Rattus norvegicus: one gene and its partners. The protein of the gene in region 5 interacts with the protein of the main gene of each other region in a pairwise test. Links are inferred from orthologs where the notes say so. Each region holds a gene or a part of one and is shown on either strand. Other genes may lie near its edges.

Region 1 (4,003 bases), on a different chromosome or scaffold from region 5:
CCTTCATACCCATTATTTACTATTTCATGATCCTAAAACCATCAGCTTACAGGGCTTCAGTCTGTAGACAGGTCTTGTTTTTGAGTTGGCTTACACCAAATCCCGTCACAGAACTAGCTGTCATTCCGACGGCTATGGATCCCTCCCCACCTCTAGCTTTTCAGAACCAACCAGTACCCATCAGTTCCTGCAAGAGGCAAGCTCAGCCAAACCAGAGGAGGCAGGGAAGGTGAGGTGATGGAGACCTCGCAGGGGCGAGCAAGGAAGGGCTGGTAGCAACTGCGTCAGAAACAGGTTCAGTGGAAGGCGAGCCGCATAATGTGGAAACTACTGGAACCTTATGGTGGGGACAGGGGCGCTACTTCTAAGTAGTGTTACGTTGCAGGTGGCTGAGACTTCACTGAAAGACCATCCGAAGCGGCCAAAAACCTAAGATCGATCAGGAGGCTGGTGGGGTTGAGCTGGGAGGGTGTGGTCCCTGTGGGTTCTCCCCCTCCAAGCCTGCGGCTAAGCTAGCTGCAGAACCCCAAGACAAGCTACCCCATCACTCACTGGTCCGAGTGACAGGCATTTCCTATGTCTAGCGTCTTACTGGTCAGTCGAGAAACAGGAGGGCGGGACAAATAAGTATTCTCCCTCTGATTGGTCAACTCGTGAAATTCTTGTCAATTAGAGATGAACTGCGTTCTCCGCCATGTTGAATAGCACGCTGCATAGCCTGTCCTTTTCTTGGGCTGGTCACCCAACGCCCGTTCTTTCCTGTTCCTCTGTGCTCTAATATGTTGATCCAGTTAATAAAAACGCGCTTTCTGCGTATACCGCGAGAAGTCCTCGTTCAGATAGAACGAAATAAAGCTAGAAACCAGAGAAAAGCTCAGTCCCTAGCTGCGGATCTGGGTGTCATTCAAGAGAATCAGTAATAGTCCCGGTGCTGATGAGATTCCATTGAGCAAACTCTCTTGAAGACTGCGTTTTACTTTAGCTTACTGTGGTAGTCATTAGTGTAGATTCGGATAGTTATGCTTCTAGAATGCCCCGTTAAACCGCAGGATTGTATCAGAAACCATCATTAGACGTTAGCTGGACTCGGGGCTCGCATTTGTGACAGTGAGAAAGGACGTTGCCTGCGTTACGGTCCTTCGCCACCTCCTGTAGCGTCCCTAGTAACCGTGCCCCTAGTAACCGCTCTCCCCAGCCAGGATCTGCGAGCGAGGCGGCGGCGCCAGCTCACCCGCCCCGGGCCGGCGCGGGCGCTCGGGCTCGGAGGCGGGGCGGTGGCTTCGCCGCACTAGGCTATCAGACTGGCTGCTGCCAACCTCCACCTGCCCGCAAATCCCATCACAGGAGCAAGGGCCTCCCAGTACGAACGCGAAGACCCCTTATAGTTCTTGGTAGCAGCGGCGTTGGCGGCGGCCGTGGAAGAGAAACAGAAGAAAAGGATGTGGCAGATACGGGCGTCGGTAATGTGGGAGCCCGGCGGGGTCTGGGGGCTGTCCGGGTCCTCACCAGCAGGGACGGGTGGAAATGCGGTGTCCTCTGCAGACCCTTCCTGCTCTCTGCTCCAACTAAAGACTAATGCAAAACTTTCTTGGAGAGCATTTTTATAGCTATTTCTAGAGTGTGCACAGAACAGAATTCTACTTATTTATTCTCCAGCATATCTTGAGAATAAATATTCTTCAGTTTTTTAAATTTTTTTCTATTTTTAATTTTTGTTTTTTCCCTTGAGGAAAACTGATGTGCCTATCTATAGTTTTCATAAAACCTCAGATGATAAGTTGGACTGACAAGTGTATTTTATCGGTTTTGGTTAGTAGTGGATTTTAGCAGTCCTTTAGGAAAGCCTGTTTGAAGTTCAGTGGACAGATGCTCCATAGATATAGAGAAACATCCAGATAAATCCCCGAAATCCCAAAGTTTACTAAAGGGGCCATACGGGTGCAGTGAGGTCTTCTCGCAAAACATTTTCAGTATTATGTCCTGGATGCATTTCTAGCAGGAGGGCACAGTCTTCCTCTATCCTCTCTACTTCTTTTCCATATACATATGGATTATGGTTTATTTATTTTATACATATGAGTACACTGTCGCAGTCTTCAGACACACCAGAGGAGGGCATCAGATCCCATTACAGATAGTTGTGAGCCACCATGTGGTTGCTGGGAATTGAACTCAGGAACTTGGAAGGGCAACCAGGGCTCTATCCGTTCTATTCATTTCATTTGTTTGTTTTTAGATTTATGTGTATGAATGTGCGCAGTGTGAGTTCCTGGGAGTTCCTGACGGTTGTGATGGGGGCTGGGAATCAAGCCTAGGTGCTCTGCAAGAGCAGCAAGTGCTCTTAAGCCATTGCAGCATCCTTTTTAGTTTGTCTCTTGAGACATAGCCATGGCTGTCCTGGAACTCAAACTCACAGAGCTCTGCCTGCCTCTGCCTCCTGAGTGCTTGGTTTAAAGGTGCATAGTAAAATGCCCAACTTTTATTCACTTAAAAAGTCTAGCACTCTGCTGGTGTAAAGCACCAGGAAGGAGCATGTCTGTGTGTGTGTGTGTGTGTGTGTGCACGTGCACATGTGTGTATGTGTCCCCACCCCAACCCCTGCCACTTGGTTTCTTAGCAGTGCTGGGGGTGGGATGAAGGGTTTGTGCTTTAGGCAAGTGCTGTACTAACAGCTACAAACTTGGTTTTTGTTTTATTTTAGACAGGGTCTCCTTTGGTTCAGGATTGCCTCAAATTTGCTGTTAAAATCCTGACCCTCCTGCCTCCATCTTCCCAATACTGGGATTCAGGCACCGTGGCTGGCCTGTATCAGCTCTTTCAAGGTTATGTAAAGTAGACAGAGGCCCAAACCACCAGAATCCTAGGACTGGTTTATACCTGATAAGGCTGCCATTCAACACAATCTATCAAAGGTTACAGAAGGCAGAATGCTGGAATGGAGGGAAGGAGTTGGATTCTGGATCAGAAGCCATTGTCTGCTACTCGCTGGGTGATTATAGGACATGACTTCTGTTTCTCTGTCTGTAAAAGGACTATAATCGCCCCCATCTTCTGTTAATAAGAACCAGAGGAGAGAATGGGTGTCATTTCTAGAGAGTTTACATAAATTCGTAATTATAACTGCCAGCTTGAACAATTCACTTGGAAACTGACATATACTCTGGCAGAAAGGTCTGTCCTTTGTATAGTTGTGCTTAGGTTCCAAAGTGCCCTGCTCACTGAAGATTTGTGTTATAAGTGGAGTTTGGGTTTCCAACACCCACATACACACCTGGTGTGTTGGCTTTTGTGTATAATCCCAGTGCTTCGGGAGGAGGAAACAGGCAGATTCCTGGAATTTGCCGAAAGCCCCATCTCAAAAGATAAGATGGACTAGGGAACTCACCCGAGATCGGATGTTCCTGCAACTGATGCTCACCCCTGCACAGGCTGGGAAACTCCTTCTGCTCTCCTTTCCCCAGCCCCGCCCACCTGGGAGAAAACTCAGGCTAACACATCATCACTCCTCTCCGAATTCCAGACAACCTGCCCAAGAGTGCCTCCCCGGGGGCTCAGATTCTGACCACACGTGCACACCAACCATCCCAGCTCCTAGCTAGCAGATCTTCACTCCTCACAAAGCTCTGTAAAACCCCCTTGCTTTAGCCTGGATGTGACGTCACCGACCTCCACCTGTGAGATCGATGAACCCACCCAAGAGCTGCCCCCTAATAAACCTGCCTTTATCCACTTCTAATCCGGTCTAATCCAGCCTGTATCTGTGTCACCGAGGGGAGAAAAAGTCTGTCATTGACCTCTGGTGCACACACACACACACACAGGCACATACACACAGGCACACAGAGACAGAGAGAACCTCAACATTTAATAGAGACATCAAAAGAGATTAAGGATTAGCCACCATAGTAGGAGGCCTGGAACAAGGCCCAGAGGGTCCCACATTCACTGAGAGAAGCAGTGAGGTGAGAAGTCAAGTGCTTCACATCAGTTCCCTAAAAATGAA
Region 2 (3,978 bases), on a different chromosome or scaffold from region 5:
TGAGAAAAGCTGGGGCCAGAGAGATGGCTCAATGGTTAAGAGCACTGGCTATTGTTCTTCCAGAGGACCTGGGTTCAATTCCCAGCACCCACATGGCAACACACAAGTATCTTAAACTTCACCTTTGACATCCTCTCACAGACATACATACAGTAAAAACACCAATGCACATAAAATAAAAAATAAAAGGGAAAAAAGGAATTTAAGGAAAAACTAGCTTAATAGTTTGTAATGACTATTCCTGGTTGTCAAGTTGAGAATGTCCGGAATGAACTACAATCCAGAATTGGAGGGCACATCTGTGATCCAGATCTTGAGGTTGGAAGACACAAGTATCTGATCTGGATATTGGCATGGAGATCTTGAGCCACAGTGGCCATGAAAAGCTTAGGCCCAGGCAAGGTAGTACAGGCATTTAATCCCAGGAGACGGGCCAGGAGACCTCTGAGTTCAAGGTCAGCCTGGAACAAAGCAAGTCCCAGATCCAGGAGTGGTGGTCCACACCGTCATCTGAGCCACACCTTCTGTCGGAGGTCTACATAAGGACGTTGGAAGTAGGAAGACTCACTCTTCTTCACCTGCTTGCACTGACTTGCCAGCACATCTGTTGGAATCTACGTCCACAGCAGACCAGCTGAAACAACTAGCCTCATGGGACTGAGCAACTCCTAGGGTCTTGGACTTCCCATCCACAGCTACCCTTTTTTGGGATAGTTGGAATGTAGACTGTAAGTCACCACAATAAATTCCCTCACTATAGAGAGACATTCTATACATTCTGTGACTTTAGAGAACCTGACAAATACAGTTCTAAGTTTTTGTATTAAGACTTTCCAAAGCTAGGCATGGAACTGCTCACCTTCAATCCCAACATTTGAGGAGCAGAGACAGGCAGATCTCTGAATTTAGGCCAGCCTGGTCTAAATAGCAGGGTTCCAGGATAGCCAGGGCAACAAAGAGAGACCCTGTCTCAGTAACAAAGGAACAAAAAAGTGTACTACCATCCACCATTCCCTGCTAATGTTACTAGTTTTTTTTTTTTTTAAAGATTTATTTATTTATTATATATAAGTCTACTGTAGCTGTCTTTAGACACACCAGAAGGGGACATGAGATCTCATTACAGATGGTTGTGAGCCACCATGTGGTTGCTGGAATTTGAACTCAGGACCTCTGGAAGAGCAGTCAGTGTTCTTAACCACTAAGCCATCTCTCCAGCCCCCTCTTTTTATAAAAATGTATTTATTTATGCATTTTTAAATATGAGTGCTTTGTCTGTATGTACATCCTCACACCAGAAGAGGGCATCGGATCCCTTTATGGATGGTTGTGAGCCACTGTGTGGTTGCTGAGAATTGAACTCAGGACCTCTGAAGAGCCCCTTATGTTCCTAAACACTGAGTTCTCTCACCAACCCTTAATGTTACTATTTTTAAGTAGGATTATGCTACAATATTCCATTTCCTAAAGTTTTATTTTAAAATCATTAACTGTCATTAAAAAAAAATTTCCACAAGATTAGTATTTCTCAGAAGACAGTTTGCAGAGTAATAACTTTAAAGTCATCTATTTGCTTCTACCCTTTTCCACTCCTGGCTTTCTCATTCCACTGACCTGTGCTTCCTCCGGCAGCAGCTGTTATAGTGGGGAGCTCTGTGTAGAGCATTCTGGGTGATTATTCGAGTCTGGGTTAGCAAAGGAGCCTGACAATGAGAGAAGAGAGTGAGTCAAAGCTGTCAGAAGCAAATGGCCCCTCATGCCTGTTGCGTGCAGTATAGCCCCGTCTAAACAACACTGATGCCCTCACCTCAGTTTTGCTTTCTGTCTTCAGTTCGTTCTGCGGTCGTGGATTTTGCTCTGTTCCCTTGCCTGACTGCTTTTTTCCATAGAAAAGCTTCAGACCTAGGAAGAAGAAAAGCAAGGGAGAATGAAAAGATTTTGCCAAAATGTCAAGAGTTCATTCTCTATCTCCCGCCCTCCCTACTTCTCTTAACTTACTGGATAGATGCTTCTTGCCTGCACGGTGAGCTGTCAGCATGGCCAGGGTGTCCAGTACTGGTCGATGGGGGCAGATGGCACAAGCAAAGCTAGGGAAACAAGAAAAGTGAATTATAAGTGTGTGTGCGTGTGCGCGTGTGTTTTGTGTTCCAGCCTGCAGTCGCGGTGTACTTGCTATGGTGAGTAGATCCTACTTCTGTCATAGCACTCCTCCAACTCCCAGGTTTCCCAATCTCCACCCCTTCACTTCCAGCCAAAGAATACTATTATACTCCTGAACTCCTTAGTAACAAAAGTTTGTTGAGCCTCTGATCCCCGAATCCCCAGGCTTGATCCACTCTTCGCTCTCACCGTCCATCCCGCAGCATCAGCGCCTCATCCTCGGGGATGTAACTAGCTAGCAAGTCTCCAACTCTTCGTTTCTGCAGGAAGCAGGATAGAAGAAATGAATGAGAGGAACGGATGGATATTAAATAATACAGAGGAGTCAAATGGCACGGGGCCATGCAGATCATAGGGTAGAAAATGGGGTCACCTCTCAGTTCTGGTCCCCTAACACCCTCCCCTAGATGTCGCCAAAGCAACAAACCAAAGCAACAGGGCGGCTGAAGGTGATCAGGTGACTCTCACTAGGGCTTACTTTGAGCACATTGAGCTGACTCCAGTCGTCCCCTTCCCTCTTAAAAGACATCGCGACTATGAGAATATGATAAATTCTACGCCTACTTCGCTGCTCCTTTAGGCCACCGTAGGAAGAGTACACTATCGCCTTCTCTGCTTCCGGTTTCTTTCTGAGTCTGTACTTCCGGGGATGCTTTTCCACGCATGCATCGCGCAAGCCGGAAGACCCGCCTCCAGCGCCCTGAGGGGATCTGTATTTCCTATGATACTGCCTGGACGCTGTGCCTTTTGGGAAATGAAGTCTTTTGGTTATCTATTTTATTTTTTAATTTTTTTGGAGAGAACACCGCTCACCTGGACACAGGTCCTCGCATCTCGAAGGATCCAGGTGTTTGGAGACCCAAGATCCTGTACGTGGAGCCGGAATTTCAGGGTGGGACCCTCCTGAGGTGGAGGGAGGCTTCGGGGGATCTCAGTGGACTCTATATTGCAAACTTGTAGTCCTCAGGCTCGTCCTCCTCAGCCACAACCTACCTGGGGTGGGTTTTATTTGGAACAGAGAGGATGTGGGGGCTCCCGGCGTCCTGACTGTTGGATGTAGGGACACACTGAGGGAAGAGTGTTAATGAGGGTGTCTAGGGTTCAAAGGTCAGAGATCAGGCTTGCGAGGAGTTGGGGAGGGGGCGTCGAAAGTCCACGGGGTCAGCGACTGACAACTCAGGGAAGATATTTATGGGTAAGGGGCTTGAGGAAGAAGAAATGTAACCGGCCTGGAAGACTTCTTAAGATACGAACTGTAATTCCGAGCTCCGTAAGAAGCATCGAGAGGAGGAGGACGAATGTAGTCTCTCGAGAGTCGGGAGACTGAAGAGAAAAGAGAAAAAGAATTTTCTGAATATCCATTCTCTGGGTTCAGCCGTCACTGTTGGTCACTTAGCTGGGCTTTCCTCAGTTGTGACCCTAGATCTTGGAAGTGAGGAGATGGCTTCGCCCTCTAGACAGCCTCCCCTCGGAGGGTCAGGGCTGCTACGTGGGAGCCGTGCTCGTTCTTATGGAAGCCTGGTACAATCATCCTGCTCCCCAGTGAGGGAAAGACGCCTGGAGCATCAATTGGAGCCTGGAGACACCCTGGCTGGATTAGCACTCAAATACGGGGTGACGGTGAGTCTTCCAGGATTGAGGTAGTCCCCAGGAGAAAGTGGGTGGCCCGCTAAGCAACCACCTCTGACATTACCCAAATTATATTATGGCCTGTTTTTTTCTTATTTTGCTTTCACATCTTTGTGTAGTACTATTGGGCCAGATCTGCCCAGCTATCCCAGTGGGAGGAGCAGCTCCCGTGAAGGTGGGTGAGTGGGG
Region 3 (4,298 bases), on a different chromosome or scaffold from region 5:
TGGTACATGCCTACAGTCCCAGGACTCAGGAGGCTGACGCAGAAGTAACTGTTTGGGGCCAGGCTAGGTTACAGAGAGAATTCAAGGACAGCCTAAGGCTAAACAGCAAGCTACCAACTCAGAGAGAAATCATCTGGGAGTGGTGGTCCAAACCCATTTTGTCCACATCTGGGAGGCTAAGACAGGAAGGAGAATTATGCCAGTTCAAGGCCAGCCTGGGCTACAGGAGTTTGAAGTTAGACTAGGCTACACAGTGAGACCCTGTCTAGAAACAAAGTAGCAGTGGAAGTGGTGGTGGTGGTGGGGTATGATAGCACCCAACAGTTAAGGACACTGGATGTTCTACCCGGGAATGTGGCTTCCATTCCCAGTATCATGTGGCAATTCACAGCTCTCTGTAACTCCAGTTCCGGGAGATCCACACCCTCTTCTGGTCTCTGTGGTGCACAGACATACATGCAGGCACCCAGACACATAATTTTGGTCTTTTTTAATCTCAAAAAAGTAATTAACTAAAAGAAAAAGAAGAGAGAAAGCAGCGTGGTAGCGCACACTTTTGATCCCAGCACTTGGTAGGTGAACAAAGGAGCATCAGAAAGTCAAAGAACTTGAGGTCAGCCTGGGCTACGTGAAACATAGAGATAGAGACAGAGAAACTGAGAATGAATTAGTAGGAAGGTTGAGGATATAATTTTATGAGTACCCAGTGTGCGTGTGCCCCAGGATCCAATCTCCAATATCACATGTTGATAAGTAACTTAGGTAGTTCTTTCAGATATGTATTTAACTGGCTTTCTGTTCTAACCTTCTGCTTTCCCCCTACAAATAGAATTATATCTATATGCCCATTGCCCCTACTCCCTGAGCCCAGAACTTTTACCTACCTGTGGGGTTTCATCTCTGGGGAACCTTTTCTTCCTCTAGCCTAATCCTCACTTGCCCTGATGCCATCAGTTCCTCAGAGAAGGTCCACCAGATGTCTTAGTCTTTGTGAACACACCACACACACACACACACACGCACGCACACACACCCCGTAAGTTAGATTAGATATAACTGCCTTGGCCAAGATGGATATGTCCGCCTGCCTGAGACAGATACCTTCATCCTGGCCTTGACTCGAGACTCTACACTGTCATACTTGGGTGAGCGCCACAGTGCCTTCAGGGGCTTGGGCTGGGCCTGCTCCCGGCTGCGTTCCTGGTCTTGGAATCGCCTCTGAATCTCTTTGATCCGCCTCAAGTTTTCCTTCTCATGGTCTTTTGGATCCTTCCCTGGAGGAGGGGAGGAATGTTGCTAGGAACAGCCCTACGAATGGCTGTGCAACTCAGACTAGATCTCATACAGATTCACACCCTACCCCTGGGAGATGTCCAGTATATGAGAAGCCCTGGGTTCAATCTCCAATATCACACACAAAGTTCTTAAATACAACCAAGACCTCTACATGGAAGTTGAATGCCATACACACAGCAACATTAGCAGCTTATTCCCTTACACAGAAATTGTGATTACCTTCTACATTTTATGATATCACCGAGTATATTATACATATGTCCTGTCTTGTTTATTGACTCCCTTACTTCTTTCCCCAAAATTTATTTATTTATTTATTTATTTATTATTTTTTTTTTTTGGTTCTTTTTTTTTTCGGAGCTGGGGACCGAACCCAGGGCCTTGTGCTTCCTAGGTAAGCGCTCTACCACTGAGCTAAATCCCCAGCCCCTTATTTTTTAATTCACATTATATCCCAATTGTAACCCCCACCCCAGTCCTGCCCCTGTCATATCCGGCTCCCTATTACCCCCTTCCCTTCTCTTCAGTGAAGGGGAAGCCCCCCTTGGGTGTTACCCTACCCTGGGACAACTCCCATACTTTTTAACCTTGTTTTCCTAACAACCATAGGGCTTGGCACAAAGTAGGCATTAAGGGAACTGTTCTATCAAGGTGTGAAAGCTTGAAGCTGGAGCTCTCTGCAGAAGGATGAACTCTGATCCTGCAAGAAGTATTTTGCCCTTCTTTTAGGCTAGAGAAATTAAGACCCAGAAAAACACATTAACTGAATGGGTTCAAGGCGGTTAAGAAGCACCCTATTTTAATCTCTGCTTTTGACCTATGAATGCCTCAATACCCCGTCTGCAAGGACTTACTCTTAGGAGAGACCCCTGAACCAAGGGAGATGCCCCCCAGTTGCAGCAGCACGTCCCCCACACCTCGCTGGCCACGCTCTAGGATCTCTCGGGCTCCAGGCCTGATGCGAGGGCCACGAGGAGGGCTGGAGTCCAGGTCGCGACCTGAAGTCAGCAGGTCCAGCTTCAACGCGTTTCCTTCCAGGCGTCCTTGGGCTGAAGAGCAAGACGCGGTGGAAAGCCGTGCTCAGAGGTGGGGCGGGGTACTCGCCCCGCCGCGGCACCCCGCAACTCACCCGAGGCCGGCCGCCGGTAGTAGTCCGGGCAGAGAGTAGGGTCTGGGGGGATGGGTCCAGAGATGCGGGACGGGCCCTCGCACATGATCCTACCGTAGCCCTGCAACTGTGCATCAGGACCTGTTGCGCTGTGCAAATGTCCCCTCTAATCCCTGTCGGGTGTTTCCACCCTCCACCCGAGCTCTGTAGCCCCGTGGTACCCCCCATCACTGACCCCCACCCCTCGACTACCGCTCGTTTCCTAAGCTCAGCCCGTACCACCGCCCCGCGACTAGCACACGGCCCTGAGGGGTTCGCGGCCCCTCCCCCTGCAAAGCCCCAGCGTGGACTCTCACTGCAGCAGTTTTACCGCCAACTGTAGCAAGTCGGTAGGAGTTGCTGTTGCTTGGCAACAAATGGCTTCCTGAGGTCAGGGGTCAAATGACTAAGGCGAAATGCCTTCTGGGGTTTGTAGTTCCAGATGAGGAGCGAGTCTAAGTCTCGGGTCGCAACAGGATCCTTACCTCTCAACCTGTCTCCCCTACCAACACTGAGCACCGGTCCAGCCCTGCTCTGGGCCTGCGGTCTTCTCTGAGCAACCGTCGAGGGATGCATTGATTCCTGCCATGGCCTCAGCAGGGGCCAAGAGGCAGCCAGAAGCCCAGAATGGGGCAGCAGTAGGGTTAGCCCAGGTTGCAGAGATCCCTGAGGTGACTTGGGCATTTCAAAGCTCAGGAGGAGGAGGGGTAGGGCAGAAGAGCAGGACTCTAGGTGACCCAACCTTCTAACTGCCAGGCCAAGTCCTGCAGGTAGAGGGACCTAAGATTTCCTATTCTGTGGCCAATATGTAGTTAGGAGAGGCCCCCAAACCAAGAGAGATGCCCCAGTTGCAGCAGCTTTGGGCTTTGCCTGACCATGGGCTATCAGTTACCTATGTATGTCTTCTAGTGTCCAGGAACAGAAGAGTGTCTGGTGCCAGCACACGAGACCTGCAGCACTCCAGGTGAAGACAGGTGTCCAGTAGGACACAGCTTAGAGCCAGAGCTCCAGGAGGAAGGAATAAACCTGGGAGAGGAAGGGCTCAATCCAGGGGTGGAAGCAGGAGAGGAGAGAGGACCCAAGCCTACATCATCCATCGTGAGGCCAGCTCATGGGCCCAAGAGAAAGTGAGAGGGCTTTCAAGGGGAAAGGCTGGGGAGGTGGGTCTTAGACCTGGAGATTCCTAAATCCCAATTCCTTCAAGGCAAAGAACCTTGTTTTCTTCTAATGCCCTCACCTCCAGCTCCTGTTTCTCTAGAACAGTTGGGGCGGGGGTGTGGATTTGGGGCTTCTTAGTCTTGTAGGAGACTTAGCTACCATTGAACGCTGGGCCCCTGTTGGGTTTGGAACTTCACTAAGAAATGGACAGTTAACTAGCTCTAGTGTGGCTTGGTGGACAGGCAGGGGTAAGCCCTAGGTTCAAGACACAGGAACCAAAGACTGAAGCCTACCTCTTTCAGGCCTCTTGTCCCAGGCTTGAGTACCCCAGCCCTCCCAGGGCAAAGCTACCATGCCCATCCTAGGGCAGAGGCCGAACTGCCACCAGGGCTGCTGCTACAGAAGGAGGAGCCAGAAGGCAGCCACAGTGAATCCTCGCTGTCATCTAAACAGCACAAAAAAGCCAAGAAACGCAAGAGTGTAGGGGCTCCTGTGCCCCCAGCTGTGGCCAGCGCATCTGCACCCACAGAGACCTTGGGGCTGGAGCGTGAGTGGCAATCCCTGGGCTTTTGTTTTTCCCTTTGTCTTTGAGTCTGACGTGGCACAGCCTGGTGCTCCAGCCTTTGCTGTGCCTTGGGTTCTTGCAGGAAAAGCCCAGCGCCTGCGGCCACTGTACCAGTACATCAACTATTGCAAC
Region 4 (4,065 bases), on a different chromosome or scaffold from region 5:
TTTTTTTGTTGTTGTTGTTGTTGTTGTTTTTTGGAATGTAGGCTGTAGGCTCGAACAAAATTTCTACTCCAGCTGTCACTAAGGTCTCTCCATCCTGATCAAAGAAACTGAAAGTAACCAGCTACAATTTACACTTTTCTCACCTTTCAAACTGCAAAGAAGAGAAAAGTAACTTTCTTTCTACACTTCTGAGGACCTGGCACTAGCTAGTTCATCGGCTGAATCACGAGGAAACGCCTCTTCCACAGACTGGGAAGAGTTCAGATGTAAAAGTTCTGTTCTGGAACCAAAATGCCTTCTATGGGAACGAACAGCAGCTTTTCCCAACAGCCCTGAGCTCTGGGGCTCTCTGACGAGCGTGTACAGGGGATAACACTCCCCTGGCCAGGCAAGGTATGGATCGTGGTTTATGGATCATGGCAACATTTTTATGCCTCCATAATAAAAAAGACAAATAACTAGTCCTGGGAGCTGAGAAACATCCTTTTAAATGTTTGCTTGCTCTAATAACGAGGGGGTAATTAATAATGACTATTTATGGAGCAAGTACTGTGTAGCAAATAAACGCTGTCCTAGGTTCTTTACAATGGGTTCTATACAAATAGGGCATTCCCGTTAGCCTTCGGATGATTCTGAGGGAAGAGATTTTATTCCCCTATGAAGGAAACTGAAGCTGAGGTAGACTGCGACTCCTGCAGGTAAGAGGATCTGAACGACGATGATGATAAAAGTAAAATAATAACAACAATGATAAATCATGATGACCCGGACTCCAAAATTCTCGCCGCCAAGGCTCCACGTTTCAAAATGAAAAGAGGAAGCCAGAGCTTTGGAGAAACTGAAGAGTCCACCTACTCCAGCAAAAGTAATGCTTTTGGGCCGTCAAGACAGCTCAGCAGATAAAGATGCTTCCCCCTAAGCCTGATGACCTGAGTTCAATCCCTGAGATCCGCATGGTGGAAGGAGAGAACTGACTCTTGTAAATTGTCCTCCTCTGACCTCCACTTGAACACTGTGACATGCACAAGTGCACACCCTTGGAGACACACACACACACACACACACACACACACACACACTAATTAAACAGATAAATAAATGTAATTATTTAAAGTAGTACTTTTTAAAAAGTTGACTTCCCATAGGCCAGTAGAAGAAATAAAGGAAACAAAAGACCATTAGTGCACCACATCTGGCCGTCCAAAGGCACAAAGATCGCCCATCTCCCACTGCCCTCACCCCTGCTTCCTGACGTAACCAGTTTTTCCCCCCACCGATTATTATCTCAGGATATCAAACTGTCATGATCCCTCTGTAGCAAACTCCCAGAGAAGAGCAGTCAGCGCGACTGGAGAGCTCGCTCAAGCAGGAAGGAAAAAGAAATCAGTGGCAGGAAGCGGAGCTTATCTAAAAACACGGTGTCACTGTTCAATGTGTGAACACCGTTAACCCCCACAGCACTTCAAACCAAAGCTACCCTTGCCTCCCCTGGTATTATATTAATACGAGTTGCTAAAACCTGGTCCCTAAACTTTCTCCACGTGTCTAATGACAGCTCAGAAAAGTTACACAGCCAAGGTTGACTCTCGGTTCTCTTTCACTTAAAGAGAGGGGGCTGTGTGCAGCTCAGTGGTAGAGCGTCCTCAATAGTGTGGAGAGAGATGGAGAGAAGGAAAGAGGGAGAAAGAAGAGAGGGAGGAAGAAGGGGAGGAGAGAGAGGGGGGAGAGAAAGGAGGAGGGTAAGAGATCGAGGTCACAAGTCAAAGGAGTACACCTGAACAAAAAGACTTACAGGCAAATCACTAAGGAAAGATAACACTTGAGGGCCATGATCAGACACAAATTCTAACACCAAGCAGCCTGTGACTGGCAGAAATCTTAAACCCAGTAGTGAAAACACATAGGGCTTTCACTTTTCAGGACACCACCCAAAACAAACTGAGCCAGTAATCCAAAGGCTGACTGACAGACAGACAATTGTTCAGAATGTCAACATACACCAAGAAGAGAAAGAAACACTAAGAAAATAAGTCAGTCACTCAGGAGGCCTGCTCTCCAACAAAACTGAGGATTCAGAGAATTTAATGCATCTACACTAAAAGCACATCACTTCTCAGGGATTGCGCAAGTGATTAGAAAATGTCAGAAGTAACTTACTCTCCACCCTGTGGCCACCCTGTAATAATTTCTAATGAGAAAGGACCAACTCAAGACAAAGTAAGGTCAGGCTTGAGAATTCCCCCTCACTTTCCCTTGCTCATACCCTGCAGGCCTGCCCCATCAGAACCCCTGGGGAGTACAAAAAGAAAACAGGAAGGTGATGGACTGGGACCCAAGGCCATGGGGCCATCCACCCTCATGCAGGCAGCCACCCATGCTGTTGGAGACCCCTGAGTAGTTCGGTACAAAGTCGAAAGCGGTCTGCAGGTGGCCCTCCAAGGCCAGACTGACAATGTCAACTCGCCCAACTCCTCTGCCCCTCACACCGGGCTCCCTGACACCTCCAAGCTGAGGTTCCCCGCCCCCAGACCCTAGACTGCACCCCACACCCAAGCTGGCCAGGCTCCTCTGATTGACAGCTGCTCTAGCCTGGGCTACCCCGACACCAGCCCTCCGGCCTCGGGGGCGCCCCAAGACGGCGGGATTCAGAGATCAAGATCTGGAAGGCTTTGGGTCCAATCCCCACTCCCCTCAGCGTCCTGGACTCACCTCCCCGGCAGCTTGGCGCTCCTCTTCCAGAACTGCTTGCTGTTCTCGGCGGCCATCGCTCTGGCCCGGGGGAAGGCCTGGTCAGTGGGTCACGGGGGCGCCCCGCGACAGGCCCCCGGGACCCCGCAATCTGAGGGCCAGCCCAGGCCGCTTCCCCGCCGCCGGTCACCCGCTCCCAGCTCCTGGGGGCGCCATCTTGGATGTGGGCACTCCCCCCGCCCAGCGCCGTTGCCATTGGTGGGCTGTGCAGGCCGGTGAGCGGATGGACCAATAAGGATCCGGGATCCTGCCGGCCGCTGAAGCCCCGCGGCAACGTCATGGGCTGGGCACACAGGTGGGCCGGGAAGGCGGGGCTTAGATGGGCAGGAAGGCGGGGCTGAAAGTTCCTACTCCCCGGAGGCAGAGAACCAGGTAAAAAAAAAAAAAAAAAAAAAAAAAAAGGAAAGAAAAGAAAATAGAAAAGAAAAAAAGAAAAAGACCTGCTGGGAATGGGAAGAAGGAGATGGGACTGTTGCCTTTGATGGGCTGAGGTTCTGGGGTTTTCCTGGAGGGGAGAGGGAAGGAGAAACCATAACATTTATATACATTAGTCTTAAGTAAGGTCTCATGTAATTATGGAGACCATTTTTGAGACCTCAATGGCACCCAGGGTGGTTAGCCCCCTCCTTGTTCCCTTAGGATCCCAATTTCTTAGACGATAGCTCCGGCCAGACCCCAGGGCGGGGAACTATTGTATGAATAGCAGTTGATTGATCAGAGTTTCCCTCTCTTCCGCTAACTGAACTTCGTGATGTAATCCCTCCTTCGGGTCTTACTCTTTCTGCTTGTGAGGATCGAGGTACTGAGAAGTCGTACTTAGGAAATACTGTTTTACCCTCCAAGTACCGTTTTTCTCTAAGGGTTGTTGGACATCTCCATGGCAACGATCAGGAAGATGGAGAATCTACCCCAATAGCCTCAACCCCTTTATTAACCGGTTATAAATCTTCCGTCTACAGATTAATTTTTCAATCTAATTTCGACTCGAAATGAGATCTGGTTTTAGCATGTTGTCTCCTTTGGGTGTCATGTTAATGACTACCTCTCTTTTTGGAGTGTGTCCTGGGACGACACTTCGAGGGAAGATGGAGATTTTCTACCCACCCCAAAAAATTTTTGTTCAGACAAGGAACTGTAGATGTGTGCAGGTTGCCCCCCCCAATCCATCTCTGTACTAACACCCTGTTTTCTAAATATTAAAAAAATATTACATTTATTTGTGCGTGCGTGCATGCGTGTGGGCGTGCGTGTGTGTGTGTGTGTGTGTGTGTGTGTGTGTGTGTGTGTGTGTGTGTAAGTGTGGAGGGCAGAGGACAA
Region 5 (3,500 bases):
TACGAGTAAGGGGAGAGGGAGGGGTATTTTGTTCTCTGTTCATCTATTTCCTGCTTTGTTTTCTTGATGCAACTAAATATCTCCTTAAATAGTGCTTTGTATTCTGGAGGTGTAGTGGTGGGGGAACTGATGGGCTCTGGGCTTACAGGGGTGGGTTCCCAGCCACTGGCCCCGGCCTCAGACTGCGGGACCAGCCCTGTCAGGTCCCTCGTCAGTAGTCTGGAGGTCTGCACAGCCTTGTGTGACAGTGAGTCCTGCTCCTGCTGGCACTTCCTCAGGAGCTCTTCATACTTCACTTTCAGGGCGCTGTACTGAGTGTCCACTTCATGCAGAAGGGAGATGCCCCTCTGCTTCACAGCCTTCGCTCTCCTGATGCAAGTGTCCTCATGGTCCTTCACGATGTCATCCCCCGCCAGGCTGCTGAGCACCGTCTCACTGCTGCTGCGTTTGAGTGGTTTTCTATGTGCTTCTGGAGCAGCCAGGAACATTTCCTCCAGCAGACTCTGGCTGGGCTCCTTGAAAGGAACAAACAGGGAGTCGGGTACCAGCTTCTCAACGCCATTCACAAAAGGATGCTCTGCCTGCAGCATCTGCCGCATCTCGGCCACCTCTGCCTCCAACTCCTGTGCCCGGGCTCGGTAGGCATCTGTGGCACTCAGCTGCTGCTCCAGCTCGCTGTTCTCCTTCAGCACCACTTTATACTCTGCCTCCACGCTCACTCGCTTCTTCCTCTCTAGACTCAGCTGGGCCTGCAACATCGTCACTGCCTTTTTCAGGTGCTCGTTTTCTTCCTCATCAGGGCTTTGCTGGCTCTGCAAGGAAGTGATCTTCTCAGCAAACACGTGGTCATATACAAAGTGTCTGAGGAAACATGGAAATACAGAAAGGTCAACTGGCACTGCGAAGGAGGCTGCTTTTCAACTAAGTCTTTAAGAACCACGACATCAATTTTTAGCCCATTCCATTCTACAAGCAGTGGGTATATGACGCTACATAAGGCTGGCAAATTCTTTTTTTTTTTTGGTTCTTTTTTTCGGAGTTGGGGACCGAACCCAGGGCCTTGCGCTTCCTAGGTAAGCGCTCTACCACTGAGCTAAATCCCCAGCCCCAAGGCTGGCAAATTCTTGAAAGCAAACAAATACAGTTTTTGTGACTTTTTTCCCCCTAATATTAAAAGTAGTATAGAACACCCACTCCAAGACCAGCAGAATACAGCTGCTTACTGGGAAATATGGTGGGCAGAGATTCTCGTCACTAGTTGGAGGTCACTATCAGCTGGGTGGTGATCTTAAAACCTAGCGCTCACACCATTGGTTTGGACACTGTTGGTCTTCTGCCGGGACCTATGGAGTTTAAAATGTTTTCCATAATGTGAAACCAAGGTTGAGGAAACCAATGTTTGGACCTTAACCTCAGATCCACATCAGAACCACCGGGGCAGCTTTAGGTTCACACCTAGAAATTCTGACCTGAGGAGAGTTAGTGTTTGCCCTTGGAGAACATGGCCAGTGCTGGATGCACACATGTAATCTCAGCAGCACTTGGGACATCAGGAGTTTGAGGCCAGCTGGGCTGAATGAGACCTTATCTCAAAAGCCCCAAATCGCCATAAGTAATGTGAGAAAAAGCAAAGTGTGAGACGTACAAACTGGCCTCTGTCCTATTCAGTCTGGGGCAGCTCGCACCTATCTGTGTCTTGGTTATGGAGCATCGAGCTCTCCATTAAAATGAAGGGCTTGGGGGACACAGAGCATGTCCATTTTGGCCATCAATTCTGGATATCAACTGCAGTATAATAGGTGTTTAGTAAGCATTATTAAAGACTCAAAGTCAACACTATATATTACTTATTTCTTTAGGTGAAAATACTCCTTTTGTCTTTTGAGACAAGATCTCTGTATAGTCCTAACTGTCCTAGAACTTGCTATGTTTTGGACTAGAACTCACAGAGCCTGCCTCTGCTTCCTGAGTGCTGGAATTTGAGCTACCAAATCTAGCTTCTAGGTTCCATTTTTTCTTTCATTCTAAAGTGAAATACAACTCCCAAATCTGTACTACAATGGAAGTATTACTAATTTTAAACTAATATTTAACAAATTAAAATGAAAAAAAAAAATAAAAACTGTTTTCATAAAATTACTGACACCCAGAAACGCTCCCTGATAGGTTTCTGGTCAGCAGCTCTGTCTAAACCACTGGTGGTTTAGCAGCTGAGGGGCGATCCTGGAAATGAAGCTTTCCATCTACTGTGATCTAGAACGTGTCATGACATGGCTGGTCCCAGTCTGCAAATCCACAGCAAGGCAGGCTCTTACTGGCGGAGGTCGTACAGCTCTTTCAGACAGGAGAAGCTTGGTGCTGGTCTCTCCTGGTCACATGCCTTCTGCCTCCCTCTTCCTTGGTTAGACTTCAGCTCCTCCACTTGGCTCTGGAGGTGATCAATGTTGGTTTGCAGGCATTCAATTGTTTCTGTCAAGCTGTGAATAAAACAGAAGCCAGTCACTGCTTGTCAAATTAAATTAAGATCAAAACCAATGAAGGGGATTAGGTGTGAGCCACTCAAACTTGGCTTTCTTAATTGGAAAGAACTTACAGTTAATCTTCCTTCTCCAGAAAAACCCCGTATCCTAGACTGCCCAAACCTTCTATAGGCACATTGTACTTCGAATTATACTAATTCCTTTGTAGACTGCCCCTGTAAGAGTTAGAAATTTACCTCAGGATTTTCTGCTGTGAGGCCTTGCTCTCAGCAACTAGCTTCTGGTTGGTTTCTTCCAGTTCTCTTGCTGTAACATCTAACTGCTCATAAACTTTTGCATGCTGCTCATTCATTTGCCGTAGAAGCTCCACCTGCTTGGTCAGGTACTATAAAAGAGGAGTGAGATCAGGTAACACAAACAGATAAGATAACCTGCATGCTTAACACCAATTCTCTGGTTCTCCAACACCAACTAATGCCAGGTGAGGGCTTAGGGCCTCCACCTGCAGGCTCAGCACCCTCCTGGCATGGTGATGTTTGCTAGTCCAGAAGCTCCCATAGCCTTGTTTTAGAGTTCTGTCAAAGGCTTCGGCAATTAAAGTTGATTGCTATCTGCCCACACTTCTCCTGGCTAGCTAATAATGTGGGCCATCCCTCATACTCTGGACAATAATGGTTTTACAAGACTTTTTAAGCCACGATTCAGGGACAAAGACCAAATGTGAATTTTTTTTACTCTACCAGTGTCATCAGCTTACTTAATGGAAAAGAGAATGCTAAACCCCAACAAAACTACCTGTTTTAATAATAAAAACAGCATAAGCTATTCTTGATGTGCTTAGCTCTATTAATTTAATGCTTTCCAAAACTCTTACGTTCCATGAGGCTAGACTAATTTTACAAACTATATGCTCGACATTCAGAAGGAAAACCCAAAATGAAATATGATAATCTCTCAAGAAAACTTGGAAAAACATGACAAAAATTTAAACACAATATTTTAACAGAGACTGGAGAGACG
Region 6 (4,121 bases), on a different chromosome or scaffold from region 5:
GATCCACTGGAGCAGCGCCAAGCGACGGTACATCACCAAATGCACATGGTGTTTCTCCTTCTCCTGTTCCTTGTAGCGCTCCTGAGCCTGCAGCTGCTGCACGGCCTGGGCCACAGAGGGCAGAAGGGGATCCAGGGGGCTTGGACCTCGAGGGGTGCTACAGCCAGCTTCTGCACTGCTGCTAAAGCTGCTGATGCTCAAGGAACTGCTGGCATAGCCGATGTCCTCCAGAGGAGAGCAGACGCTGCTGGCATCACTCGACTTCTCTGGCTCAGCACCAGGGATCTCTGCACCCTCCGGGGGACTGCGGACTCCGGCCTCAGGGAGCCCAGTGGCTTGGAAGACCCGGTTATCAGAGGGCGACTCAGAGGAGCTTCTTATCAGAATAGGATCCACACCATGCCAGTTCTTATTAGCATCCTTAGCGCTCTCCACGAAGTTGGAATTACTGTCTGGTTGGAGGTCCGGGTGACATACTCCAGGAGGCAGGCTCCCCAGGTACTGGGCCCCCTCTGCTAGTCCTGGCTGGATAGCAGCAAACATCTGGACTGTGAAGGAGAAGCAGAAGAATGAGTCACAGCAGGAGAGGATGGAATGACAACCTTGAGCCCAGTAACCTCCTCGTGGCTTTCACAGAGCGGGGTTTCCCTTTAAGGCTGCCCATCTCGTCATTCTACAAACTTCTCCCCAGGTCACTTCATCCTGTTACAGCTTCGAGAACCATCATGTGTAAGCAACTCTCAGATCCGTGTCCAGCCCAGATTCAACCCCTACTCAACCTTGTGACCTACCGCCGGTTCTTCAAATTCTACACATCCAGACAGCTCTCCTTGCAGCGTCCTCTGGCAGGACACTCTGCTGAGTCTAGCCACCCAGATGCCTAGGAGGACCTGGACTACTCACCCTCCTCCCATGGCCACCTCACTGTCCACATCTTGTCAAACTCTCCTTTAGCTCTGGTCATTTTGACCCAAGTGATTGTCACAGCCATTCCACTGACCCTCCTCCAACTAAAAATACAAACTTGGGTTGGAGAGAAGGCTCAGCAGTTAAATGGACTGGCTGCTCTTCCAGAGGATCTATGTCCCATTCCTAGCACCCAAGTCAGGTGGTTCACAACTGCCTGTATGGCTAGCTTCATCCCAACCTCGTCTTCTGGCCAATTTGTTCACCCACATGCACGTGTGCATACACAGATATGCTAATGTTTTTTAAAAAGACGTTCAGCTAAATAACAAATTATACTTTCAAAAGGAACATATGTCTACATGTATGTAGATGTATAGATATGGACAGATATATTCCATAAGAGAACCACATTTCCATGACGATTTATAACAGTAGCAAAATTACAGTTACTAAGTAGGAACAGAAGCTGGGCGGTGGTGATGTACGCCTTTAATCCCAGTGCTTGAGCCCAGAGGCAAGTGGATCTCATGAGTTCTACCACCAGGCTGGTCTACAGAGAGAGCGAGTTCCAGGACAGCCAGAGCTACAGAGAGAAACCCTGTCCGGAAAAACAAAAACAAACACAAACAAACAAAAAGGAAGTAGCAACAAGTTACTACTTGGGGGTCACCACAGTATGAGGAGCTGTCTTAAAGGGTCGCAGTGTTAGGAAGGTTGAGAACCTCTGCTCTAGAGCAAACCCAGCCAGCCATAGCAGGTATCAGTAATTACCTGCAGAGAGTGACTAAGGGGCTACCGTGGGGCTCCTGTTCTTAGGAAGACAGTAATAATGCCAGAAGGCGGCTACAGCAGAGACCCAGGGCTTGAAGCGCTGGTCTCTTTCTCCTCCTCCACACTAAGGAACCCCTGTCTCCTGAACCCACAATGACAAGCCTCTCTTGCAAGTCTGTCCCTTCCCCTCTAGTGCTCCTGGTACATGTTCATGGGACTCAGTTTGCTCCATGCTGATTTTCTCCCTCTCTCTCTTCCCTAATAATCGCTTTTGAGTATGAACTGACAAGACGTTCCATTGACCACACGTCTATGACCAGAAGGAAGAACTGAGGCCTCATGAGTGAAACATACCATTAAGTCAATCAAGCAGCCACTAGGAAGGTTCCCCTATAGGTGGCAGGGAGCCTCCCCACACCCAGCAATAGGCAGAAGTCATGGAGACTGAGGTTGGGACAGATGTTTCCACCCCTTTGGCTTGTAAGAAAAGGCCTGAAGACACCCCCAATCCCCCCCCGCCCCATACACACATACATACTCTATTTTAAAAATTTCCTAGGGGCTGGGGATTTAGCTCAGTGGTAGAGCGCTTACCTAGGAAGCGCAAGGCCCTGGGTTCGGTCCCCAGCTCCGAAAAAAAGAATAAAAAAAAAAAATTTCCTAAATTTGGCCAGGCTTACAAAGAAAGTTGGGGTGGGGTGGGGTGACAGTGGGGTTAAGCATCCAGGCTCAAAAAGTCAGTGAAATGAATCCAGACATCCCAAGATCAGGATCCCCCTCTCCTCCCAGCTAATCTATAGTGTAGGGGTAAGGGAGGGGACTGTAGCACGGGGATTGGCAGCCTCACAGGGGACAGAGAGCACAGTGACCCTGATCTCTGCAGAGGCAGCTCCCCAATCCACCCTCAGGCGGCTGGGCCCCAAGCACTCCATCAGGGCCCGGACTCACGGCCTAGAGGCGCCCGCTCCTGCGGGGTTTGCTATGGTTCCTCGGGGCCTGCTCGCTGTAGAGGCTGGGGGTGGGTCCTGGACCTGCGCGTGCACGCGCGGTGGCGCGGCTGCCTGGTCCTGGCACAGCCGTCCCAGCCCCAGCCCGGACTGCGGAGTCCAGCGGCGTCTGCGCGGCTGGGCGGGGCGGCCTGACTCACGTGGGCCGGTTCGGTTCTCCGCGCAGGAACTGCCTCCTCCCGCGGCTTGACCCGAGAGCCTTCTAGGTCCGGTGTCATCTCCTAACCACTCTGGCTAGGCGCCACCGATCCATCGTTTTTCCTGCTGTAGACATAGCGACGAAATAACTCCTTCCTGGGTTTCTCAGTGGCTAGGAAATTGGCGAGGCCGCGGTGCACGTCCCATCCTGCTGCAGCACTCGCTGCGGTCCTTTCCCTGCTCCAGCTCGTCACGTTTTCTGCTGAACTGTTCATCCCCATTTACTTTTAGGATCCTTGCTGACTCCTAGACCTGTTTTGTTTGTTTGTTTTTAAGTCCCTTCACTGTACTATACCTATTTGATGAAACGCACTTAGTGACAGCTATGCGGATGTTATTGTTTTGTTTGTTGTTTTGAGACAGAGTCTCATTATGAAACCCTGGCTGTCCTGGAAAGCACTACGTAGAACAAGTTGGCCTCCAACGCACAGTGAGATCCGCCTGCCTCTGCCTCCCAAGGGCTGGGATTAAAGGCGCGCTCCATCACCTGCAGCCAGTTTTAAAGATTTTATTTTTTATTTATGTATATGTGTTAGTGTCTCTGTGTGTGCGTGTGTAACTAAGAATGGAATCCCACTCCAGGTAAGTCACAGTTCTTCCTTTAGACAGGAGGATTTCAGACTATGGCTGCAGTATCACATTTCCTGACACCTGGAAGAAGCCTGTGTAATAGGGGAAAATGTGCGGCGCTGGAGCGGACACCCAGGAACGGAGACGAAGACACATGGCTGGCTAATGCCCCAGCCTCTGCTTCCTGAGTTTCTAGTTTTGATGCCTTCCCATGAAGTTCATATCTTGCCATATCCAACCCGAGTGGAATTTATCAAACTGGTAATCAAAAGATTCTTGAATTAATACACTAAACGTGATGAGGTAACCCTAGATTCTGATCATTCCCTGTTACTGTGTAGCCATTTACTCTGAACTGAAGCATTAGAGGGAGGGTTGTGAGATCCAGAAGATTCCCGAGGGCCCTCTTCAAGGTAGTGAGTGACCTAAGGGGTTGCTGGGGCAACAGAGACTCTTCAGTGGAGCTGCCTGCAAGTTGTGCTGGAAGCTCCAGGGATGCAGACTTTGTGAGTGGTCACTTAGCTGGATTCCGGTTTTCAGTGACCTAGCTGCCTTTGAGCTTTTGATGGCCCTGTGAGTGAATCCTGACTGATAACCAACCCTGGTCGACTCATCGGTTCACCAAGGAGACTTTGATGGGACTGTTCCTTCAGTCTGACCTCACTG
Region 7 (4,030 bases), on a different chromosome or scaffold from region 5:
AATGTATCGACACAGACATCACATCAAAGATACTTCAAACTCCTATGTATCAAAGTAGTACATGGCTTGAAGACAGATGGCACTAAATACATAAAACACAGTACAGATAAACTGGAACCTTAACACTAAGGTCAACTGACAGCAAACCCATACAAACGGTTAAACGTTAGACACTGGAAACCAACTTTAGAATTACATAAATAACTTGCAAAGCTCCATTTAATAATACTTAGCATACAGCCATAAATTTGATATTTCAAAGACAGCAATTGAACATATAGAACACCAACAAGAGAAATATCAACTATGGAAGCAGTTAAGTATAAAAATAAATAGGAAAAAAAAGTATGCATTCTATAAAAGTTTTCATTTTATGAAGTAAAAGCTTTTTTAAAAATAGTCATAGAATGAGTAAAAATATATTTTAAAATCATCATCAAAATTCAAAACTTTCTACTGGGCACGGTGTTGCACACCAGAAGTCCTGGCCCTCAAGAGACTAAGACAGAAGCCTTCACAGGGAGACTGCTTCAAGGCAAAAAAAATGTCAAATTCCCATAAAAAAAAAAAAAAAGAGTATTTTTCCTTCAATTATACTCATCGAGTCTTATTCACAGATAGTGAGTGCTGTGGGGGTGGCTGTGGGATTTGGGATAAGGGAAGTCTGTGGGGCTGGACCATGCTCCTGAAATCTTCATCGCCTGCCTCAAGAGACACACCGGGGTCAACTCCCAACTCAAGCATTTTTGTCATCTTCTCTCTAGTATGACAGTTACTTACTGATGGAATTAGCTCTCATAAAGGAAGACTACAGAAGCTTAGAGGGCAGAAAGCACTTAAGGCAAACACTGTCATATCAGGGAAAACGCATAAGCAAATAAGAGGAGTTCAGTATTCTGCTTTCACAGAGCAAGAATACTAAGAAGAGTTTCATTCTCAGTATAAATGTCTGGAGTCGGGCAGCCCCACACATGCGGTCCATGTGCCAGCATCTTCTGGGCCAGGCATTAGTTGTCGGGTTTCAGCGAGTCATAGCCTTCTTTCAGGAGGTCTCGCCACGTTTTAAGGAAACGTGCATTTTCTGTACACTTCAGGGCAAGTTCTTCCACTTGAGCTGATACTGCAGATGTGGCTTCGAGGAGTTTAGTTAATGAAAATGCCGCCTGAAATTTAATGAAAGAAAAAAGTCAAATGGGTTTGTTTATGGTATGAGGACCCAGAACCTCTAGCACTGAGCCACGCTCTGGACCTCATACACGCTTATTTTTTTAAAATCTCGTCTAACTTCATAGTCTAAATATAGCTTAAAACCTTCAATCAAAGGCCCACATGTTTTTCTTTAAAAGAAGGAATTTTCAAAGAAACACTGGTTCTTTCTTTAACCCAAAGTCTCAGAACATGGGAGACACATAGCTCTACCTGACCTACACGCAGAACCTCTAAATTTTTTTCATTATGCAAGGAAACAAAATTTCATATTGAGGAAACATACCTGCCATAAAAACACCCACTAAATATGACAAGTCAGTATTTTTAACAGAAAACACCCCCCAATTCCTGTATACTTCACCAAGGCAATCTGGAAACCTCTTGACTAAAAGTAACAGAGCCATCCAAAGGACTTCCTCATAAACCACTTTTGCTGGCAACTGGGTAAGAATAGCTCTGTTCCACTATTTTCACCCATGAACATTTATTTTTGAACTACAAAAAAAAAAAAAAAATCAGAGAACTGATATTCTGAGCTGAGCTGACAGAACATCTAACATCACACACAGCTATGAAAAACTCACTTTTAAATCAAATGTTTTCCTCACCAAAAATATATAAAGTAACACTTTTTTATATCACATCAGCATTTATTCTACACATTTATCTGCAACCAGTATTGTTTTGGGAAAAAAAATTAAAAACCTGGACCAGCACTTTAGCCATCTCTTTTGATGAAACAGTAAAAACCTGTCAACCAGTTCTAGTTTCCAATCTTTAGTGTGGTTATTCCACAACGCTCTCCCAGAAAGTTTGTCCGCTACATACTTCATTCCTCTCTCCCTCTCAAGAGTCCTTATAAAGTGACGCTGTGACCCTCCAACCACCTCAGTGTCATATGTGTTGGGAGTCAGGAAGTGATTTTTGGGAATTCGAGATTGAAAAAAAAAATCCCGTAATTTTTGCATTACAGGGATGTCTAATCTGTTCTGTCTAACCATCAGTGAAACCAATGACCTCGGCTGCCGGCTGTGATTAGCCCTGGTCCACTCAAGTCCAACACAGAGCAAGTATGCGACACACAATAAATAGCATCACCAGCTAGCCCTGGGCTGATGACCAAGAAGCGCAGGCTCAAGTCCCTGCTCAAAATGTTCCGAAGGATGGAAGGAGGCGGAGAGAGGATCCCGGTAGCGGTGCTGTGGGTGACTGCAAGCAGAAGAAGGAAAGAAAGATGCGGACGGAGAGAGCCGAGGCTAGCCCTCAACTCCAAGAACTGCAGGCAGGAGCACCCTAGCTGCAAGCAGCTCCCGGCCGCAGCGGCCACACTCACATCTCCGATCTGCAGCTCCACTTGCTCCAGCGGGTCCACCGTTGGACCGTGGCTCCGGCTCGGACCCCGCCAGCCCAAACTCACTGGCATGCTGAGGGACGATGAAGAGGCGCCTGACGACGGAGACGAGGGAGGCGGCGGCGGTGGCGAAGAAGCCCGAAACTCCTCAGAATCAGCCATGGGACTGAGCTGGTACCGCCGGACAGGACCGAGCAACCGAACCCTCACCAACTGCCTTTCGACCGCTCGCGCCCAAAGCCCACAGGCTCCGCCTCCTCCCACACGGAGTCCCGCCCCATCTTCTCGTTTGTTTCTGCCCTGGACCACAAGTACTTTTCATTTTCCCAGACAGCCAATCAGATATCAAGTCAGGCACTCCTTGCGCACACCTCGGGTCCGGATCGGGAGACACTGGAGCTGAACACTACAACTCCCAGAATGCTGAGCGACTCATCCCCGCTATGCTTCTAGTGCGCACGCGCACATGCGAGACCGTGTGGGCCTCTTCCGTACACTAGGTTCCTGGATGAGGATGACTGGGAGATGGAGTCTTCTGCCTTCTCCTCGCTTGTACGTGACCCGGAAACCTTACTGGGTATCGTGTCCTCTGTGGCGCCGGCGCAAAGCAGAAGAGGGGCGGGTACGCCGCGAAGCAAGGGCGATCAGCAGATCCCAGAGGCTGACAGAAGCTGAGCAGTAGGGGCTTCTTGGCAGGTGATGGCGCCCCTCGTGGCCTAGAAGTCCAGCGCCGTCCTCAAGCCACAGACCCGCCTCTCTCTGTTGTATCTGATCAAGTCTCCGGGTCACTTTGAACATGTTGGTGCGACTAACCAAGCTGTCCTGCCCTGGTGAGATGAAACTCCTGGTGGGGACAGATGGAGCATGGTGGATAAGTTGGGACAAAAGAGACTGGGGCCACACCTGGGGTACTGCAAACACCTCTCTCCTTGTCTGTTTTCTTAGGCTAAACTAGGGCAAAGGTCAATGCCGTCAGCGCCTGTTGGCGGACCCTGGCTTGCCGACCTTGGAGTTGCCCCAGTTGGCAGAATTAACATCTAGGTTAAAGGTCATGAGAAGAGGAAAATGTCAACATTGCCCCCTCGGTGGAGTTCCCCCCCAATGCCGGTCCTAATCCTTACCCCAAGGCTCAGGTATTATCTGCAGCCTTATTAGAAATGGGAAAGAAAGAAAAACTTGTGTGGGTTGTCTCCTTGGTTCTGACCTGACTTTCATCTTTGCAGCCATGATAGTCCAATCTTAATTGAAGTCTGACCTGTCATATCGTGTAACTCATGTATCAACAATTATGTCTGGAGTCGGAAATTTTTCTGCATTATCCTGTTAACTCCAGGCGTTTTCTGTTAAGGGTGCTTCTAAAAGCAGTTTCATGACAGTTTTAAGTTTTTACTTGAAAACAACCCCCTAATTCAAACAAGTTTAGAGGATCTTGAATTCTTTTGTAATTGGCTTAATATAAATCACTACTGA

Evidence for each region.
Region 1: the proteins of Cdr2 (region 5) and Fam161a interact in binary tests that used the Homo sapiens proteins (3 or more experiments, as listed by UniProt). The two-hybrid records come from large-scale screens. The link is inferred for Rattus norvegicus from reciprocal best matches to the Homo sapiens genes CDR2 and FAM161A.
Region 2: the proteins of Cdr2 (region 5) and Scnm1 interact in binary tests that used the Homo sapiens proteins (3 or more experiments, as listed by UniProt). The two-hybrid records come from large-scale screens. The link is inferred for Rattus norvegicus from reciprocal best matches to the Homo sapiens genes CDR2 and SCNM1.
Region 3: the proteins of Cdr2 (region 5) and Enkd1 interact in binary tests that used the Homo sapiens proteins (3 or more experiments, as listed by UniProt). The two-hybrid records come from large-scale screens. The link is inferred for Rattus norvegicus from reciprocal best matches to the Homo sapiens genes CDR2 and ENKD1.
Region 4: the proteins of Cdr2 (region 5) and Tbc1d22b interact in binary tests that used the Homo sapiens proteins (3 or more experiments, as listed by UniProt). The link is inferred for Rattus norvegicus from reciprocal best matches to the Homo sapiens genes CDR2 and TBC1D22B.
Region 6: the proteins of Cdr2 (region 5) and C5h1orf216 interact in binary tests that used the Homo sapiens proteins (3 or more experiments, as listed by UniProt). The two-hybrid records come from large-scale screens. The link is inferred for Rattus norvegicus from reciprocal best matches to the Homo sapiens genes CDR2 and C1orf216.
Region 7: the proteins of Cdr2 (region 5) and C2h4orf46 interact in binary tests that used the Homo sapiens proteins (3 or more experiments, as listed by UniProt). The two-hybrid records come from large-scale screens. The link is inferred for Rattus norvegicus from reciprocal best matches to the Homo sapiens genes CDR2 and C4orf46.

What each region holds. Positions count from the first base shown.
Region 1 is NC_086032.1:101,209,491-101,213,493, forward strand, and holds the start of Fam161a (protein FAM161A), read left to right. Parts: upstream 1-1,203; 5' UTR 1,204-1,439; coding exon 1,440-1,460; intron 1,461-3,846; exon of another isoform or gene 3,847-4,003. UniProt on the Homo sapiens protein: Involved in ciliogenesis.
Region 2 is NC_086020.1:185,391,023-185,395,000, forward strand, and holds the start of Scnm1 (sodium channel modifier 1), read right to left. Parts: upstream 2,801-3,978; 5' UTR 2,690-2,800; coding exon 2,639-2,689; intron 2,587-2,638; exon of another isoform or gene 2,534-2,586; intron 2,421-2,533; coding exon 2,350-2,420; intron 2,088-2,349; coding exon 1,999-2,087; intron 1,903-1,998; coding exon 1,808-1,902; intron 1,704-1,807; coding exon 1,615-1,703; intron 1-1,614. Other genes in the region: Lysmd1 (lysM and putative peptidoglycan-binding domain-containing protein 1), read left to right, coding at 3,601-3,780. UniProt on the Homo sapiens protein: As a component of the minor spliceosome, involved in the splicing of U12-type introns in pre-mRNAs. Plays a role in the regulation of primary cilia length and Hedgehog signaling.
Region 3 is NC_086037.1:50,503,617-50,507,914, forward strand, and holds the start of Enkd1 (enkurin domain-containing protein 1), read right to left. Parts: upstream 2,801-4,298; 5' UTR 2,511-2,800; coding exon 2,426-2,510; intron 2,346-2,425; coding exon 2,151-2,345; intron 1,275-2,150; coding exon 1,102-1,274; intron 1-1,101. Other genes in the region: C19h16orf86 (uncharacterized protein C16orf86 homolog), read left to right, coding at 3,031-3,114, 3,353-3,570, 3,904-4,148, 4,222-4,298. UniProt on the Homo sapiens protein: Microtubule-binding protein which regulates microtubule organization and stability. Promotes the stability of astral microtubules and facilitates the proper orientation of the mitotic spindle.
Region 4 is NC_086038.1:7,619,561-7,623,625, reverse strand, and holds the start of Tbc1d22b (TBC1 domain family member 22B), read right to left. Parts: upstream 2,801-4,065; 5' UTR 2,766-2,800; coding exon 2,710-2,765; intron 1-2,709. Other genes in the region: Tmem217 (transmembrane protein 217), read left to right, coding at 3,068-3,120. UniProt on the Homo sapiens protein: May act as a GTPase-activating protein for Rab family protein(s).
Region 5 is NC_086019.1:184,935,037-184,938,536, forward strand, and holds part of Cdr2 (cerebellar degeneration-related protein 2), read right to left. Parts: intron 2,866-3,500; coding exon 2,717-2,865; intron 2,478-2,716; coding exon 2,316-2,477; intron 862-2,315; coding exon 1-861.
Region 6 is NC_086023.1:144,183,760-144,187,880, reverse strand, and holds the start of C5h1orf216 (UPF0500 protein C1orf216 homolog), read right to left. Parts: upstream 2,801-4,121; 5' UTR 2,629-2,800; intron 2,164-2,628; exon of another isoform or gene 1,439-2,163; coding exon of another isoform or gene 1,354-1,438; intron 549-1,353; coding exon of another isoform or gene 544-548; coding exon 1-543.
Region 7 is NC_086020.1:167,059,911-167,063,940, reverse strand, and holds the start of C2h4orf46 (renal cancer differentiation gene 1 protein), read right to left. Parts: upstream 2,801-4,030; 5' UTR 2,723-2,800; coding exon 2,543-2,722; intron 1,164-2,542; coding exon 1,008-1,163; 3' UTR 1-1,007. Other genes in the region: Etfdh (electron transfer flavoprotein-ubiquinone oxidoreductase, mitochondrial precursor), read left to right, coding at 3,357-3,390.